Drosophila melanogaster: one gene and its partners. The protein of the gene in region 1 interacts with the protein of each later gene in a pairwise test. Each region holds a gene or a part of one and is shown on either strand. Other genes may lie near its edges.

Evidence for each region. The genes of interacting proteins can lie anywhere in the genome.
Region 2: the proteins of fd3F (region 1) and yem interact in a two-hybrid assay, tested with the Drosophila melanogaster proteins (one large-scale study listed by BioGRID).
Region 3: the proteins of fd3F (region 1) and Pdp1 interact in a two-hybrid assay, tested with the Drosophila melanogaster proteins (one large-scale study listed by BioGRID).

Annotation. Positions count from the first base shown.
Region 1 is NC_004354.4:3,800,699-3,806,997, forward strand, and holds the start of fd3F (forkhead domain 3F), read left to right. Parts: upstream 1-1,617; 5' UTR 1,618-1,858; coding exon 1,859-3,051; intron 3,052-3,527; coding exon 3,528-3,623; intron 3,624-6,299. Other genes in the region: HIP (Hsc/Hsp70-interacting protein), read left to right, coding at 1-53.
Region 2 is NT_033777.3:29,117,830-29,125,400, reverse strand, and holds yem (yemanuclein), read left to right. Parts: upstream 1-2,521; 5' UTR 2,522-3,199; coding exon 3,200-3,439; intron 3,440-3,494; coding exon 3,495-3,716; intron 3,717-3,784; coding exon 3,785-4,604; intron 4,605-4,664; coding exon 4,665-4,812; intron 4,813-4,878; coding exon 4,879-5,118; intron 5,119-5,180; coding exon 5,181-6,519; coding exon of another isoform or gene 6,520-6,816; 3' UTR 6,817-7,071; downstream 7,072-7,571. Other genes in the region: Atg14 (Autophagy-related 14), read right to left, coding at 7,288-7,442, 7,505-7,571. UniProt on the Drosophila melanogaster protein: May play a key role in egg organization. May be a transcriptional regulator having a role in chromatin remodeling in concert with Hira, a histone chaperone. Involved in chromosome segregation by affecting kinetochores function in the first meiotic division.
Region 3 is NT_037436.4:7,830,074-7,835,621, reverse strand, and holds the start of Pdp1 (PAR-domain protein 1), read left to right. Parts: upstream 1-2,548; 5' UTR 2,549-3,068; intron 3,069-3,794; 5' UTR 3,795-4,043; coding exon 4,044-5,235; intron 5,236-5,548.

The DNA of each region.
Region 1 (6,299 bases):
AGCCTAAGCCTAAAAAGGATTCCGCCGACTTCGTCGATGACGGTTTGGACTAAGGTTTAGAAATGGGGCAGTAGTAAGACTGAAACATGCGTCGATAAAAAGAAGTTAACAAACAATTACACGAAATCGAGCGAGATTACAAAACAACAAAGAAAGAGAAAGCAACAGAGTGCGGGGAAGAAGATGGACTACACGAAAAACAAAAGGGAAAGCAACTGCCTTACACATTTTTGCAGCTGGGAAAAAACAAACATTTCCTAAGCTTTAACTTAACCAACACGTAAAAGAACGGGCGACAATGGAGAAAATTCAAATATTCAAAATACTACAAGCAGTCAGAAGAATAAGCAACATTTATTTAAATCGAGAAGAAAGAGATGTTGGAGATGCTGGAGACGCTTCTTCACATATTATTGAAAAGCATACTTGCGGCCATTAAAGTGGCAAATGAAACTATACAAAGGAGCTAGAATATGCTTAAAAACTTCACATTTGCAGTTCACAGGTAAATCAAAAGATTGTCCTGTAACGAACAAAACATGAATGTTTAGACGTCAAGTCAGATTCAAGGGTGCCGATCGATCTAGTTGAACTAAAGCTCGAGAAACAACCAAAAGAAAATAAAAAATATATATATGTTCAATAATATTAGCCTAAATTACCGAGAACGAAGAAACGGATAAAACTAATCGCATCATTTGGTCAAACAAAATTGTACTGAGTAGGATTTAAATCATATTGTATGCAAATGCATTTAGCCCCCCAACATGAAAGCAATCGCCCATTCATTCACACACTCATTCACACACTCATTCACACACTCATTCAACCAGTGATCAATGGAAATAAATAAACGAATCAACAAGAACCCGAATTGCTAATGTCCATATTTTTTGGTAAACGGGTAAAAGGGGAGATACTTTTGCTTTTTTTTCGAGCGGGTTGAACAGATGGAGCCGTAGTCCCTTAAACTATCCGGCGCATCACCTGTGTGGGTTGCTCACTTTGTATGAAGTACATTGGGTACGCATGGTGTATGAAAGCGTCGATTAGACGCTTCAATGGCTGCACCCTGCACCCTGGATCCAGAACCTATCTACCGCACCCCGCCCCATGTCAGCGCGAAATTGGCTAACGGACAGCTTGGCGCACATGTTCGATTATGGCCAAATCGAGCGACCAAGCAGAACCAGCGGCACATGACCTGGGCTCAGCGATGCCAAGACCTGGGTGGTTGTACCTAGAGGTACTTGATTGCTTTTTAAACTCAGCTTGGTACAGCGTACACGACTGATTATTTAGAAGCTATGACAGCTTTCTTTGCTTTGATATTTTTCATATTTATATATAAATTATAAATATATATTTATAAGCAGGTGATATGGTTGAAACATATATCAACGAATATGTCAAATATAATACAGTGAAGTGTCTGCATTATTTTATTGTACCTGCGCCATCACAGGTACGGCTCCTCTTTCCATCGACTGCAGACGTACCGCTTATGTGCATGACTGGGTGTCCGGGGTGGTGGATGTGAATGTGGATGAGTGGCAGGAGGGCGCAGGCGCAGCTCAGCCCAACAGCCAAGTTGGTCTGGACTCCTGGCGGCCCATCGCATTCCGTGGCCAGTCGCAGCGCGAGACGGTTAGCCAGTTAGCCAGTGCGGACCGACTAATTCCCAATTTCCGCTCTTGACTAAACTAAAGATTGAGAAATAAAGAAAGAAATATCCTTCGTCCGTCCCCCAGACGAAGCAGGTCAATTTTTTTTTCGTGTTACTTGCTCTTTTTCGCCAAGTGTGAGTTGTGTGTTTTGGCTTGGCTAACGTGATTGAAATCGAGACAGCCGGGACATCATGATTGTCAACATGCCCGTCAATGGAACGGGCAGTGCATCCAGCCCAACATCGAATCCCAGCAGCAACAACAACAACAATAGCAGTACCACCAATCAAAATGATACGAACACTAATCTTCCCGGTGATTACAACTTTCTTAAGCGCAAGTTCGACGATCAGGAGGATTTGGCTTTGGGCCACGACTACGAGCCCATCGGGGCAAATCCCTGGAAGAAGCGACACTTGGACTACGATGCCGGGGACCTGCACTTCCACCTGCAGCTGGAACAGCCACCTAGTAATCCGCCAACCAACGCTGCACCCGCCCAATCCTCGACGTCCTTCATCAACGATCTCTTTTCCTATGAGAGCAGTCTTCTGGTGCCCGCCGTCGCCTATTCGCACTGTCCACCATCGAGTGCTCCATTGGATGACAATGGTGGTTGGACCGGTGGCGAGCTGCTGGAGCTGGATCATCGTTATAACTCCGGCCTGCAGGCGGAACTGGGGCAATTGAATGCCACTTTGCCGCCGCCACCACCAACATCATCATCAGCTCAAAATGCATCCAATCATACGCAGCAGTCAACACAACAGAATGTCAGTCCTGGTCAGAACCCACATCAGAATCAACATTTTCTGGTGCCGCAGAAGCAGCGGATACAGTCGGCGGGCCGACGCACCTCATCCGGTTCGGTTAGTGGGGCCAATGAAGCCACCGAGGCGGACTTCGAGGATAAGAACCTCTCGTGGCTGCTCAACTTTAAGTTCGACGAGTTCCCGCACCTATCGCCGCACAATCAGATTCACGGACAGGCGGTCAATCTGCCGGAGGGCAGTGCTCCACCTCATCCACCATCGACGGCAGTGCCGATCGCCACGTCGCCCTGCAGTTCCTCCTCGCCATCATCCGCCTCCGCCGCATCGGCATCCGCATCCGCCATAAGCACAAATCAATCTCTCGGATCGGGTTTGGTGGATCAACGGGCCAGATCGCCCAAGAGTTGCTCCAGTGCAGCGATGCCAGCGGCATTAGGAGGAGGAGGCAACGGCTCCGCTGGCGCTTCAGCAGCGGGGGGCGTGGCCGGCGTGGGCTCCACCAAGACTGGGCGCAAGTTCGAGGAGCTGGTGATGGAGGTCACCTCGGAGTTGGACGGTAACGACATGATAGTTGCCGAGCACGTTGTCGTCGAGGATACTTCGTCCAAGGCGTAAGTGTTGCAGAAATAAAACAATATGACAGTGTCAACGGTTAAATTCTATATTTCCTAATTTATTTGAAACATCTATTTATTCCCGTTACTCATAGAGGAAAAGGGTATACTAGATTCGTTGAAGTATATATAAAATTTGTTGATCAGGATCAATTTTTAAATTTTTTTCTCATTTTATTCCCCAATATCTATCGACATCCCAGAAAGATGATTAAATTTCGCGTTCGCATTCACACTAGCTGAGTAACGGGTATCTGATAGTCGGGTAACTCGACTATAGCATTCTCTCTTTTGTTTTAATATATTTAACAATCTTTTTCTCTGATTTGTGCGTTCTCCATTTGCTTTCAATGCCGTCCTCCAATCGATGCCGCCAACGAATTTCCCCAACCACGCAATCGCCGATCCACTAAACCACCGAACCACCCACCAATGTGGCTGAAATCCAAAACCAACCACCGCAAAACAAGCAGGCCAAAGAAACCACCGTTCACCTACACGGAGCTCATCGAATACGCCCTCGAGGATAAGGGTGAGCTGACTGTGTCGGGCATATACCAATGGATATCGTAAGTACTGTCCCCCATCGAACCACCCACTGAATCAACCACCACCGCCCACCGCCCACCGCCCATTCGGATGGACGCCATTTTGTGGAGTGCTAGCCATCCTGTTATTTTTTTTGATGGCAAAAAACGCCAGCCAGGATGCAATTAAACAAATCTCAAGCATTTCGTTTTGGCCATTCCCGTTGGCCATTTGATTTCCTCGTTCGCTGGGTATTTCTTCTTACCATGTTTTCGTTCCTTGGTTGGTAACCAAACTTAAACAAAGTGCCACACACCGGCAAACAAACGATAGCGGCCACAATGAAAGTGCCAAAAGTTAGCAGCTCAAACAGATTTATGGGCTAGAAAATTGCATTTACCTTGCCTTCGCTCGCATAAGGTGAAAAACAAAAATGTTGTTAACCAAACTATTTGCGGGTTGTTCAACAAGTTGTTTATGCCAAACTGGTATTCCCTGGTATTATCAGCTTATACGGATAGCGACCCATTAATTTTGGCTTTTGGATTGTTTAGTGGCAATTGTTGAGTATACCAAATTCTTAGTTTTATGGTGATAAGTGCTTAATACGGCTCATTCCGTATTAGTTAATCATTCAATAGTATTCAAAACTAGTTAATCATTACCTACTTTTCGCAAAACGTTAAAATTTTCAAAATTCCATTTTTACCACGCTGAGTTCGAAAATATCAATTCGTCAAGAATCGCTGACGAAGAAAACAATAAGTTTTAACACATTTTTCAAGGTTCATCAATTTGGCCTTTCGCCCCCACTGCTCCCCACCTGTTTTTTGTTATTCATTTCTTTTGTTGTCTTCGAATACCCGGAATCAGTGTAAATATTTGATGCCGCAGCCGCGAATGTTGCGTGTAAATATCCTATATAAATTTACATATAAAACCACCCCGCTCGGGAGGGGGAGGCAAATAATTTATGACATTTGCCCATCACCTGCGCACCTGCACTCCTCACCACCCCCCCGCATTTAATGTAATGAATCGACAGTCCAAGAAGTTTCGGCTCAGTTCGAATGGGCGTGCAGTTTGGGTAACTTTTCATTAACCATTCACAAATTTACCTTGCGGCCCCCAGTTGGCTGGTGGGTTGGCAAACAGGGGGTTTTCGGCTTTGGGCTTTAGGGCTTTTTTTTCGATTTTGGTTTTGGTTTTGGGTTTTCGCAGGGTGGAGCAGGATGGGTTATTTCTCCTGTTTCATCGGCGTTCGAGTTCCAGGGCCGTGTCCTCGCGCAGTCAAGGCGAAAATGGCGCCTGCGCAGGACCTTTCAGCCATCAAAACCCACGTTTTCCAATGGCAATTTACGGAACTTTGCTTGCCCACGCGACCCGAATACCCTCCTTCCAATCCTTAATCGTTTCGCCCTGGCAATTGCCCATGAAATTTCCACTGCTCACAATAATTATTAATTGCGGGGGTTGGAGGTGCAAGTCGGGGTCCTTCCGGCTTTTCTACACCTTTTACATGCATCATTGCATCCCGGGGATCAGGTGTTTGACGTACCCATGCCCATGCCCATGCCCATTCCCATTCCCATTCCCATTACCATTACCATTACCATTCCCGTGCCTATGTTCATGCCCATGGCCAAATGCTAGAGAGCAATTACCTGGTCCGGGGTTCGGGTTAAGGGGTTAAGTGGGTTAAGCGGGGGTTGGTAACGCCGCCGCCCCTTCTTCCGGTCAATTTCAAATGCATATTGAGTGTTTATGGGATGCGGATCATGCTTGATCGGTCAGGACATGTGGCAGGATCCCTCACTCCCTTCGACAACCGCAACTAGGATACCTATCAGAATTTATGGGTTACCCTTGCCAAGGCTGCCGGTCTGACATGTAAAATGTATTTCGTAACTTGAATTTACAATACTTCACCTAACACTCTTCAGCTTAAGATACATATGATTCATCCTAAGAGTAAAAAAGGTCAAGGCTAGCTACGATTTCGTCCTTAACGAGTTTCGTTGTCAGTCAAGTCAAGATATGAGACCGAGAAGGTTCTCTTGCCACATGTTTCTTGGCTAACCCAACTGCCACCCAAGATCGAGTCCGATGTTCTTGGGATAACTTTGGCGTTCGATTTACCAGCTTTTTCTGGGATTGGGCGTGGCTGGCCACAGTTACGCCCACCGAGAGCAAAAGGAGAAAAAAAAAACCAACGAAAAAATTGGCAATTGCCATTAAAAAGTTTTTCATTTTGCACAGCCCCAAAATGAGGCAACTTCTACTTTCGACTCTCCTCCGGGCCATAAATCCAGGCAATTTCTTTTATTGGCCGGGCAGAGCCAACGAGCCGCAACAATTTATGAACTGACTAGCGCAGTGCAATAAATATAGTGTGGGCCCCACAACCATTCAGATATATACTATACTATAAATTCCTATATATATATATATATATATATATATATATTTATATATGTGCATATAAATACGGATCCGGGGCCAGAAGTAGTTGCCCAGTCTGGTAGCCTGGTCCTTGCTGCCATGTAAAAAAAAAAAAAAAAAAAAAATGAAGCGCCTGAGTGTGTTTGAGGTGGCTTGCGTGCCTGGCACTTCCAGACACGGCCCGGCTCGGGCCGGCCCATTTGGGCCTTTGGGCCTTCCAGGTCTTTAAGCCTCTCGTCTCTTCTGGCCTCCAGAGCCTCCAGAGCCCCTAGAGC
Region 2 (7,571 bases), on another chromosome or scaffold:
AAGAGTCCAAGAAGAACCGAGTGTTTTATGTATGTATATACATAGAGCCACTATCGATGGGTCGTCGTCTCTAGGTAATGAGATTGTCAGGCGTATATCATGTAATTTATTTCCGTGCATGCGTCATTGTTTTAAAAATGGAAAACCGAATCTGTAGTGGGTGGTCGTGTTGGCGGTGAAGCCAACCACCAGCGGCTCTTTTTGTTCTAGTTTATTTGTTAGTTTGGTTGGGGAAAGTACGATGAGTAAATGAAATTGTCGGCGACAAAGTGCGGTTTGATTATATCAACGACAGGCGGCCAACGATCCCTTTTGGATTGAACCACAATTAAATAATATTTCTTCCTATGTTTATGAATAAGACTGTTTAACCTTTTAATGATCAATGAACCTAGCTCTGTAACAAAGTTTTCTACTGGATAAATGAACTTTAAGAATGGCTTTGGATGGGCTGGTGAATTATCCATAATTATTGCTAATACATTCTCCTACAGCAGACTCATTTAATTAATCATGAAAGCAAATAGAGAGCAGAAATAAATAAAGTATCGCTCATTCGGTTTAAGAGCTCCCCTGATAACGATAGCGATCGCAACTGTACGAACCTCTTGGGGATGCGAAAATCTGCGAAGAGGTAGCAGTAAAGCAGCTCGAGCATGTCGCAAATCGGCAATAATGACGCATTAAAAAGCAAATTAAATTTGTGCGCTCACTTGTTGCTGTTGTTTGATTGTTTATGTGTATCGCTTTATTTTTGTGTGCGGCTTCTGTCCATTTGAGATGAAAAACTGGCTGCCGCCTTTAATAGATGAATTACCAAAAAAACACACAAGTTTTCATAGAAAATGGGAAACCAATTTGGGTTGGCAAGGCATTTGGGGCCACATGTTTCAAGGTCGATTGCCGTAACTCCATTTTGGTGTAGGAATTTCAATGTCTGGGAGTAGAGTTTATCATTCAAGCAGTGCTACGGGCAACACTCTCAGTAGCTAACCTTTTTTTCTTGCAAAGAAACTTGTAGACATGATAAGAAAACGGGTGTTCGTTTTGATATCTAACCCATTTGCATAATTTGTAGTGTAGAAAACTGGTTTAAACCTAAGTTGTCCTTGCATCGAGTGTTTACTGTGTTCACCTTGGACTACGTCACTTGAGATAAAAGAAAGCAGTCGCAGTTCTGATCTTATCTTATAATGGTAGTCTCTTGTTTCCCATATGAACGATTTCCCCTTGTTGTTTTTTGGAACTACAAATGTACAAGGCCCCGTAATTTCGTAATGAAGCAGTATTACTCACCTTTGCTTCGGAGCCGAACGATTCTTCCAGAGATGTAACAAAGGAGCTCCACTCTTCTCGTCGCTTTTCCTTTCTTTCTTAAAGTTCCTTTATTGTCTCATGACACTTTTTTACGAGCGGCTGGGGGCTTTTTGTTTAGCTGGTTTCCTGGGACGGAGTCACTACTCCGGCGAAAGTCACCGGACCACTGAAAGCGGGAAGCCTTTGTCGGAGCTCCGTATCCCGTACGTTGCTCTTTGGACGTCGGTCACTTGCATTCGTTGGATAAATATGTACATACATACATAAAAGAGCTCGAGTGGGGCTGCAAGCATAAAGGCAGCATAAGTGTTTATGTGCTAGTGTTTGTGTGGTGCCACTTGGGGATTGGGGGTGGGGGAGTTGGGGATTGGGTTGGATTGGATTGTGAAAAGAGCAGCACGGCACACTTTTGTTAATTGCACAATCCTAATCGTTTTCACCCGATAACGAGCACTGGCCATTCCCGTTATAATAACACCTTGCAGTTTCGACCGAATTCGAATTTCTGTGCATGCAACTCTTTTCGTTTCGCTTGTTTTTGTTGTGGAGCGGGCGCATGAAATTAAGCCCCCAAGCTCACGTACTGCGACTCACTTGCACTTGCGCTAATTAAACGGCGAGCACTTGACTTTCTACGAAGTAAACTCCTTCACAATCGAAATAATACTGAATCGCCCCAAGAAAATCTGCCCACCACCCGCGGCCCCATACTCTGAACAGCTGTGCCGAACAGTGCTGCACAACGGCCCGTTCTGGTCAAAACAAAGCAGAAATGTGTGTGGAATGTGGCACTGCACAGGGATGCACAAAAGCTAGTGCGAGTGTTGGCCGCTTTCAAGCCAGATCTCGTTACTTGTTGGAAAGTTTTAGAGCCGCGTAAGTTATAAAAAAGTTTACATTATATTTTGATTTTGGGTCCTTTTTAAACAATTAAGCTTACAACAGCATAAGCCACCTATATATTTTACGTAACCTATCAACTTGGTAGCTCGAAACTTTACTTTAAAAATGAGCTAGATGCCAAGCTAATGAATTTCTAACTAACGGAATTTTGGAAATACATAGCACCCATAACAACTAAATATTGCCAAATGCAGCCAGCCGCAGCAAGTCTCGGCTTGTGCTGCGCGCAGTGTGAACGGCTCGGAGTAATTTGCGAAAACCGCGACCAGTGCTGCGCAACGCGAGTGCGAAAGCCAAAAGCAGGGTCGGATCTTTGGTGCGGGGTGGAGCGGAGAGAATGTAGCGTTGAGGATTTTAACAAGAAACAATTTAAGAATCGCGCTCCTGGCCGTGCGAAAAGCGCCTGGTCGAATCGTTTAAATGTCCCCTTTGGTAGCGTCGATTGCGTGTGTTTAATCCCCGGTGCGCTGCTTTTACAGACTGTGTTGTTTTCGTGCCGGCAAGCCAACCAATTTGAAACCCCCCAAAAAGTTTCCACTTTTTCATTCCCCCAGAAAAGTGACAATTATTCGTGGCCGTGGTCGGCGGATGCAGCTGCAAAGCGGGCGGCGATTAAAGTAGTGCAATCCGGCGCAGGTCCTCGCCATTTGTTTATGTTGATAAAGCAGTGTTTGTGGGGCGACAACAAGAAAGTGCAGCTCAGAGTGAAATTGCCACGGTTATTAAGTGGTTGTGGTTGCTTGGTGTACGTGCAGAAAACCTAAAACAGACATCCCCAGAAGAAGAGGAAGCAGCGGAAAAGGAGGAGGAGGAGCATCAGCAGCAGCGACGTCTCTGTTGTTTTTGTTTGGCTGCGAGAGAGAGAGAGGGAAAGAGCAACGAAGAACACGCGGCTCTTTCGAAAAAAAAGGGCGGGAAGGCCCTTTCGGCTCAAAGGAAACCCTATCCCACTGAATATCCGTAACTCTGCCCGCCGGAAATGTCAAAGGGGGGCGAGCACAAGCGCGTCACCCTCACCTCGATCATCCAGGGCGATGCGGGCTTCTCGCGCTTCGGCAGCAACATCCTGGAGCCTGATGCTGCGTCCGCTGCACCCGACAACAGCTCCAAACCCACGACAAAGACTGCCAAGTGCATCCGCATCAAACTCGATCTGTTCGAGACCGATTCGAACAAGTATCCCGAGTTTAACTACTCCCGGCTTTTGTATTTGGAAAAGGTAAGAGTGTATAACTCAGTTGGAGGATCGCTTTCTAAACCCTTGCAATCCGTAGAAAAAGACCAAAAAGCTGAAGCAGGTGAGCACTACCAATGGCTCCGCAAGCACTGATCCCTTTGCCGACAACGATGACGATGTGGCACGGATCGTCAAGGAGCTGGAGGCCAAGTATGGCAACTCCTATGCCACAGGCAGGGGGAAGAGCAAAAAGGACGACTACCGGGACATTGGAATGGGCTACGATGAGTCGGACTCATTCATCGACAACACGGAAGCCGTAAGAACAAGAAATATTTCCGACGAATGCACTGAAATTATTTACCTTAAACTCTATGTTCTGTCCAGTACGACGAAATCATACCGGAGGAGGCGGAAACTCTGGAGGGCGGCTTCTACATCAACTGTGGCGCACTGGAGTTCAAGAACCTCACCAAGAAGTCCTACACCACTCGAACAGATGCCATCATCAAAATGCCAGAGCGATCACGCAAGCGCATGGTCTCGTCCAGCTCGGAAAGCTCATCGTCATCCTCGGGCGATGATGACGAAAACGATGATGGCAACAATGAGGAGGACGACGAGAGCGATTCCGAGGACGACTCCGAGGAGAACGATGAAAGCGACTCCGAAGACGACTCCGAGAGTGAAAGTCTTGAGGACGAGGACTCTGCTGCTACAGCCAAATCCAGCAGCAAGTACAAAGACAATCATCAAGCTAAGCGGGCCAAGGTCATCGTTACGGGCAAGTCCAAACCAAGCTCAAGTTCTTTGACGAGTGGCAAGAAGCCGCCGACTAAGCCGATCACCACTTCCTCATCCTCAAACTCGCCACGACCCAGCACGGTGGAGATTTCGGACACGGAAGACGGCCAAGACCCTATCCAGACTCAGCCATCAAGTCAGCTTCAGTCCCTGCCGCAGAGTCAGGCCCAGGCGCAAGCTTTAAAGAAGGTGGTTAAGACCACAACGGTCAAGGACATGCTAAAGGCCAAGCGAGACAGCTTCCTGAAGTCGCAGAGCGGCACGGCAGCTGTCAAGGGCGTCGGCAACGGCGAGCTGAAGTGTGTTTCCACCGACGTGTCCAGCAGCGATAGCAGCGATATGGAGTCTGAGCACGGCCGGGCAGATAGGCAGGCCGGTCAGCATGGCAAGGATGGGCAGGAAAGTGAGTTACATATACAGTATTAGTTGGTTGAAATCACCCTTTCACGTGTTCATTTTTAAGATCTTCGCACCGCCGACACTCTGCTCCCCACCACATTGGATGCGGACATTGTGACCGCAGTCAACAGCTTCAAAGAAGCGGTGAAGAGTCGAGACATGTGCGGCAAGAAGTTTAATCTGGATGTGAAGCTTTCGCCACTACTGCTTCGGTGAGTTTGCAGCCGATGTAAACATCAAGTACAGATTTAAGGCTTATATCCATTAACCTACACCAGGGTGTACGAGGCGGTGCTGTGCACGGACCGCAACGAGCGCAACATGGTCTTCTCCCACATCGAGTATCAGCTGCAACTGCCCAAGTACTACATGCTGCGCAAAGGGAAACAAGTGCGGGCGAAGGAGGAGAAGAGGAAGTCCACCATTATGCTGGAGAAGCTGCGGCGGGCTGTAGCTGTGGTCATGCCTAAGGCGGTGGCCAACTATGAGACGGAACTGCGCACATTTGCTGAACAGGCGTAAGATTGTTGTTAAGCGAAATAACGATTAGGTTCCTTTAGATTATGATTATTATTTTCAGAGCTGCGGACGTGAACTCCGAACTGCCGCCCAAAATGCCGCGTAAGAAGTTCCAGTGGACCAGCGAGCTACGCCATCTGCTGTACGATGTGTACCAAGCGCGTTGGACGTCCTACGCTTTCCTAGCCAAGCGCAAGGAATCGTTGGAGGAGTTCATCAATTGGTATCTCAAGGAAAAGGTGGTGGAACTGTGGCCGCCAGGCTGGATGCGTTTGGATGAGTTGCAAAGGGAAATAACACGCTACAAGAACGCCAAGCTGAAAGCAAAGGAGAAGCCAAAGGCACCGCCGGCGTCCGCATCGCCCAAGCCCGTTGGAGTTGTATCTGCTCCTGAGCAAATGCCGCCGGCAAGCAGCTACCTAAAGGCAGTGGAGGACCCTCGATCTCGAGGTAACTCCGATACGGACTCAGCTACAAGTGCCTCCTCCAACAGTCTGAAGCGAAAGCTGAAGGAGATGCCCAAGCAGACCAGCAAGCCGCCAAAGAAAAAGGTGGCTAAGCAGGTACCGCTGCAACCGCAACTTACTCCGCATCCGCAATTCCAGCTGGCGCCGGCTGCCACGGCGGCCGTCAGTATACCAGCCATTAGCAATAACAACAACCACCTGCCCCACCTGGACACGCTGCTCTCCATGCCGAGCACCTCGGCTCAGGCAGCAGCACTCAATGCCGCCGCCGTAGCAGCCGCCAGTACGGTTCTGGATCTGGCATCCCCTAGCCGGAAAATTGACCTTAACACCAGCAACAATTTCTACAATCTGATCACGGCCGCCTCCCTGGCAGCCAGCGGGAATCCCAGTCCGCATTCTGGAGACGGCCAAGCCAAGGTGATTGTGGGAGCTCGGCCCTCTCCCCATGTGATCAACCTGGATGACTATCAATGCACCAGCGATATACTTCAGACGTCCAAGCAGCTAGCTGCCACCACCACTGTCATCACCGCCATCTCAAAGGCCGCGCAAACGACGTCGGTAGCCAGGGAAAGCAGCAGCGAGTCGGATGGCGTTGAGATTGTGGGAGTTTTTCCTGCCTCTAAGCCCCAAAAGAAAGTCCAGTCTAAGCCCAAGAACAAGACTCAGAACAGAGGTCGGTCGTCTTTGGGTGCGGTGGGGCAGGTAAATGGATCCCTGGGCTACAGCGCGAATAACATGTATATCTACAATAGCCCAAGAACGCTGGGTCCAGTGTACGATCTCACCGATCCGCATATAATGAAAACTATGTCAAATCTGAAGGAAATGGAAAAGCAATTCATTCAAGCGGCTTTCTCGCCGAACAGCGTCAAGGGCGCAAGCGGAGGAATGGGATCCTCAGCGCCCAGTACGCCCACGCGCCAATGACATTCGGGATCGGCCGCACAGCAGCCCCTTCCGGCTGCTGTGACGGCCTTTTACAACCAGGAGGCGATGGCCGCCGCCATCGTGCTCTCCACGATGAGCCACGCCTCGCCGCGCTACGACCTGCTGGCCAACGGCTCCGTCTCCATGTCCGCCGCCCAGGTGGGAGCCTCTGCCAACACACTGCCACAAGTATTCGTTAAACCCAGCCTGCCGCAGCCCAGCGCTGGCGGCGATGTGGTGACCACGACTGGAGCTGCTCGCCCATCCACGCAACAACTGCCCACAAAGTTCATTTAGCTAGGGTCACTCAGCTCGTTCCCTTGCGATTCTAATCTAAGATTCTAGTGCTGATTCTAGGTAGGTTTCATTCGCAGCTGTGTCTGCCGATTTTCCAATTATTGCACCAGTTTAATTATTGTTTCTCATTGAGTCGTTTACCTACTAAGTCAGTGTACTATGCAAGCATTAATAAAGCAAATTTATATATATTTATTTATAGAGAACCATTTTTATTAAATAAAGGCGAATAAGTTATGTAATAGAAATAAATCCAAAAGGCGCATTTTCTTTACACACAGCGAATATATATGTATATATATAATTGATACAAAATTAGTTCTGTAAACCAAAGGATAACGCTAAAACCAGCAACTGCCGATAAACACCGACGTGCTGTCACAGAAACGATTACTTAGTCTAATTTGTAAAAGATAACACGCGTGTCTCATGATGATATAGCCGAAAGATCGGACGTCTGTTGGTCTGCGATCATTTGATCCAGCGCAGCACCGATGTGGCCGCCATTCGCACGAAGGCGATGGTAGACTGCTGGTTGGCCGCCGGCATCAGATTGGGATCCGCCAGCTCCGGCTGCGGTGTCAGGCTGGGCACCGCCTCCCAGTCCATGCGCAGAGAGTTTTCGTCTGGAAAGGCATCAGCATCAGTTTGAAAAGATTATTCCCCTCAAATTGCTAAACCAACTCACCCTCTGACTCCGATTCCGTGGCGGTCTCGATGCCGATTAGTAGGGAGTCCACTGACTTCATGAGTGG
Region 3 (5,548 bases), on another chromosome or scaffold:
TGCACATCTATGCAGTCTGTGTTTTGCTTCTCCTACTTGTATTTTTTGTTCTTCGGATGCAAAATAAAGCCATGCTAGTGTGTGTGTGACTCATTGATTCGATGTGTGAATGTGTGTGCGATGCTTTAAATTGCTATTTATAAACCAGCAAGAGCTGTGTCTTCGACTCAGTTGGGTTTTGCTTAGCAATTTCTGGCGCTCTCTGAGGGCTCATTCATCCATCGTAGCGCCACGGCGTATCTATGTGAGTGCGCTGCACTGGTGTGTGTCGGTGTGTGTTTTTGATTGTACCAAGTGTGTGTGAGGCAGTAGCCCAATCACACAGATACACACACTGGCAAGGGGAGACCGCCGGTGCACGTGGTAGCGAAACGTGATAATACGAAATACAACAACTGACAACAAAACAAACAGAAAACCTGACAACGCCGCTGTCGCTGCCTCTGCTGTCGTCGCGGTCGACGTCGTTCTCTGTCCATGTCGACGTTGGCAGATTTTCCCGGATTGGTTCCCTATTCTCGGCTTCACTGGCATATAAGCCTGGCCAATAGCAAAGCTCTGCCGCACATCCTTCTGTTATTGGATCCCGAAGCAAACTTCGTTTTTTCCTTCGCTTCGGAGCTTCGGATGACTTGTTGCTTTCCAAAAATAGTCACTGGCTGCACGGGGCGTATACTCGATATTCCCAGAATTGACCCGCCTGGGTAAAACAGGTGACTGAAGTTCGCTCTACCACATGGTCCATGGTTATGCCAATTGATGGGTTTTCAGGGCTGACTGGGTTTCTCAAATGCAAAAAAAAAAGAGTTTTGTTTAACCGAAGAATAGCACAAGGCTGAAAAAAGGTGGGCGACTTAACAAGTTTAACAAGTAGAAAAATGGCGAGGATATTCTTGGAATTCTTTTGAATTGGTTTAACGAAAGATGGAACCTTACAAATTGAATAAGTCTTATATATTTTATTTATTTTATATATTTCTTTATTTATATATTTCTTAAATAATCCATGTAATTGTAATTCAGTTTATTTGCATTTTTATCAGAAATGTGTTTTTATATTTTATCTCAAATTGCTTACTGCTCTGATTCATAGTTATAAAATCTTCGATGATCATTGGGTAAGTATTGAGTGTATTATACAAAACTTCTAAGAAAATTTACCGGACCTATGCCAACAGAGAGCAATTATTATAATTATTTAAACTTGATTAAGCCCTCGAATAGTTTGAATACTTTTTGAAATTTCCAAGAAAAACGGCGACCTACGGCAATAGTTTAGCGCCTTCGATAGAATGCAGATTAAGTATACGCTCCGTTGCAGCTACTACGTCGTTTCATTGGGTTTTCGCCCAGAGTGTTAAGCACTCAGCTTCAGACCCCCCCCCCCCACCACTCTGCCCCATCGGATCTACTTACTGGGAATGACGCAGCGGTAATTAGTTGGTGGCACAGAGGCAATCCTTTGGAGCACATTACGCATACGTCACGTGTTGCAGACGCACCAGTGCCGAATTAACCGAATATTGGCACGGCAATTGGCCAATCGGCCACGCACTCCAGCTGATGTGTAAAGTCTAGTGGCCATAGGTACACCCGTTACAGGGGGACAGACATAGCGCTCTATTGCGAATCGACTGGAAACTTTTGAGTTGCATTCGTATCTCTATTTGTCACCCTATCGGTACGTGTATCTTTGAGTGCGCTTGTCGTTCAACGTGCACTCTCATTCTCTCTGTCGCTCTCTCTCAATTAATTTGCGTATGTGTGTGTGCCCGGTGTGTCCGCAACACGTGCTTAGAACTGTGCTAGACAGTGGGCTTTGGGTCATATTGAAATCCGCGTGACTTGGCCGCAGCAGCGCTCAGCGCCTCAGCGGGCGTCGCAGTTCCAGTCCCCCAAGTATATACAAATAACTACAGCTATGTCCAAGATAATAGCAATCATTTAAGAGCAAGAAAAAAATGTTTTAAAATAATAAATTTTGTTACTAGAATATTATAAGTAATGTTGAAATAACTGAGATAAAACAAAGTTGCTTTAAAAAAAAATATTATTAAGTTCTTGATAGATAATTAGATATAAGAAGATAACATAGGTTTAGTCCTAAGTGAATTATAATTTATAATAGATTTGATACTAAATCTGAGTCGAAGTACTCGTATATGAACACTGTTTAATATATACCAAGAACTGTACTAAAAATACCTATGGCACTTGAATTGATTAATATAGTAGTAATGCTAATCATTTTCCCAGTGCTGTATGTAAAAATATTTGTTGTACATGTACAAATATTTTGCGCTACCAACATTTGATAAAAAAAAGCCAGTTAAACAATTATCAAAGTAGGAGAGGGGTTACTGTTTTCGGACCTCCGCCCTTTACGTAAGCCGACTTACTTGCAGAAAATTGCAATTTTTAGCTGGCTGAGAGAGCGGTAGCGGCGACTGCGACGTCGACTGCAGCGACGACTGCAGCGGCGGCAGAGGAAAAGCAGAGACGGACATTGAGACCGAGAAAATTACTCGGCCGGCATTCTGTCGCATCGCGTTCTCATGTGAAAATCGTCGCAGCTCGTTCCGTGTTTTCGCCACTCGAGCGGGAAAATCAAAAAATATTTCTACGCTCAACAAAATAAATTAATTGAAATTGATTTTTCAAGCAACAGAAATAGTTCTAGAAGAACTATAAATCGAGGAAGTCATTTTTGTTTTATCAAATTTCAAGTGCAATGGGTTCATTGTGAAATCAATCTAAAGTGTGTGTGTGTGTGTCATTCGAATAATTACTATTATTAAAAAAGAAATAAATACGCAGAAAGAGAGAGAGAGATCGAACGAGGCAGAGTGAAAGAGAGAGATAGAGAAAAAAGCGAGAGATCCGGAGATCTCTCGAGAATCTTTAAACAACAGCGCTAAAGTTACGGATCTAATTTCAAACAGTTTAATTTACTTTTAATTTTTCTACAAAACAACAAACTTCAAAAAGAAAAATACGAACCAGCAAAACTCAAAGCAAAAAACGATCTCATATCCAAGCGCAGCAACAAATTCTGAGAATAAGAAAAGGTATTCAACAAAAGGCTGAAAGGAAGAAGAGTTATTCATCAATGAAAAGGATAATTCAATTGATTTGGAAAATAATAATTTATTTGTTTTGATTTATATATAGAAAATATTCCAAATTTACGTTGAAATAATGTTAAAAAAAAAAAAACATTGGAAGCCTTTGACTCGGTTGATTTGATATACAGTTTAATTGGCAAATAATTATTAGTTTGTCTCGTTTTAAAAGTGAAGCAAAAACAATAAATGACCGTGAATGTTTTGATTGCAAAAATTCCATAAAGAACACGGAAAGCCTTTGTACCTATTGATTCCACTTTAAGATTTCTATAGCGTCACAAAAATCTTATTATACAAAATTGATTGAACTAAAAGAAAGCGCAAACTATACAACTATACAATGCCTTTTCTTATTCCTTATCATCATGATCATCAATAAAAACTAATGGAAAACTAAATAAAAATCATACAAAAATAGACGAAAACAAAGTGCATTCCCTGACCACACGAAAACAAGCGCATTCATTATCAGTTGCTATCAAAATCGCTTCCCCATCATACTCAATACTCACTAATAAAACTGAAAAACTGAATCATTCCCAACATTTTTCACCCACCTATCACCTGTTCATTAGCAACAACGAATTGGCTATCAATTGACTGGCAAATAAAAAACCAGCAACATACCAAAGTGCTCAAACACTAATCTGGGTTTTTCAAAAACAAAAGCACAATATTTTTTTCAGATAACACAGACAAGCGTTTATGTTAAAAACAAAAAAACTAAAGTGAACCCAAGTGTAAAGACAATGCGCACAACTTTTGGCCGTGGCCCAAAGTTTATACTGCTGACCAGCAAATTTAATCACGTTCAGCACAAGGAGGTGATCACCTAGGATCATCAGAAAACAGTGATTAACCGTAACCAGTGAAGGATAACCCAGTGAATAACGTACCCAGTTGTTGAAACCAGTGATCATGTCGTCGGATACGAATTCGTGTACTAGTTTCTTTGCCCAGGAGCACGCGAATGCCACATTGTCGCAGTATTTCCAGCAGCTTAACTCGCACGTTGCTGCTGCAGCGGCGGGCAATAGCGGTGGCAACAGCAGCAGCAGCAACAACAACAACAGCAGCGGCAACAACAGCAGCAGCGGCAACAGCGACAGCGGAAATGATGGCAGCATGACAGGATCATCGGGAACCATGGACAACCATCGCAGCAGTGTTAGCAGCAATGATTCGGGCAAGAGTAGCGCCACAGGAGGCGGCGGGGCAGGTGCCACCAGCAACAATGGCGTGAATGCCTGGGCCTTGCAGCAGCAGCAACAAACCGCCGCCCTGCACCATCAGCAACAGCAGCAGCATCAACAGCAGCAGCAACACCAACAGCACCTACAGCAACACCATCAAGCGCACCATCAGCATGTCCTGCAGCAGCAGCAGCAGCAGCAACAGCAGCACTCCCAGCATCAGCATCAGCAGCAACATCACGGCCACCCGTTGCATCCGCATCATACACACCAGCAGCAACAACAACAACAACAGCAGCAGCAGCCGCCGCCGCAACACCACCAGCAGCAGCAACAGCAGCACGCACAGCAGCAGCAGCAGCAGCATCATGCCGCCCAGCTGGCACATACACTGTCATCGGCCGCCGTTGCTGCTGCAGCCGGGAATACCGGTGGCAACACCAACCCCCACTCCATTTTCGGCACCGGCAACTTCCACTACAAGACGAACAACTCGTGGACGCTGCCCACGCTAACGTACCAGAGGATTTACCAGGAGAATCCCCATTACCAGCGCAACTCCTTCATGGATCCGCAGAGTAATGCCGCTGCAGCTGCAGCAGCTGCTGCTGCCAGTTGCAATGCTGCCGCTGTTGCGGCAGCCGCTGCAGTTGCAAGTGGCAACCAGGGATCGAATGGGAATGCCAGTGGCAATGGTAATGCTGTTGTGGCGGCAACTGGTAATGGAAATGGTGGAAATCCCGGCCAGAATAACAACAACAATAACGGCAACAATAGTGGCAATAGCAACAATAACAGCAACAACAATGTGTCCTCCGTGCAACATGTGGCAAATGCCGTCGCAGCGGCAGTGATCGCCAATGAGCATCACAACCATTTGAACAGCTTGAAAGCGCGATTTCAGCCAGCCAGCTCAGGTGAGGTGAAAAACTTGAGGAAAAAAGGGGGGGAAATTGTTGGAAAATATATATTGGATATATAGTAATGACCTTAAATGGTTTGTTAACTATAGAAAAATGGAAAAGTGCTACTTAACAGCTGTACTGTGCATTCGTATATATATATAAACTTATGTATATATCTTTCTACCGCTTAGATACTTCAACTTTTCTTGGTTGTCTTAAACATTAGTTGTATACAGTACTCTGAATAACTAAATTGTTTTGAGAACACAAAAAGCACACTTAAAGGGAGAAAAACCAAAAACAACTGATAAAGTGTATGACTAGT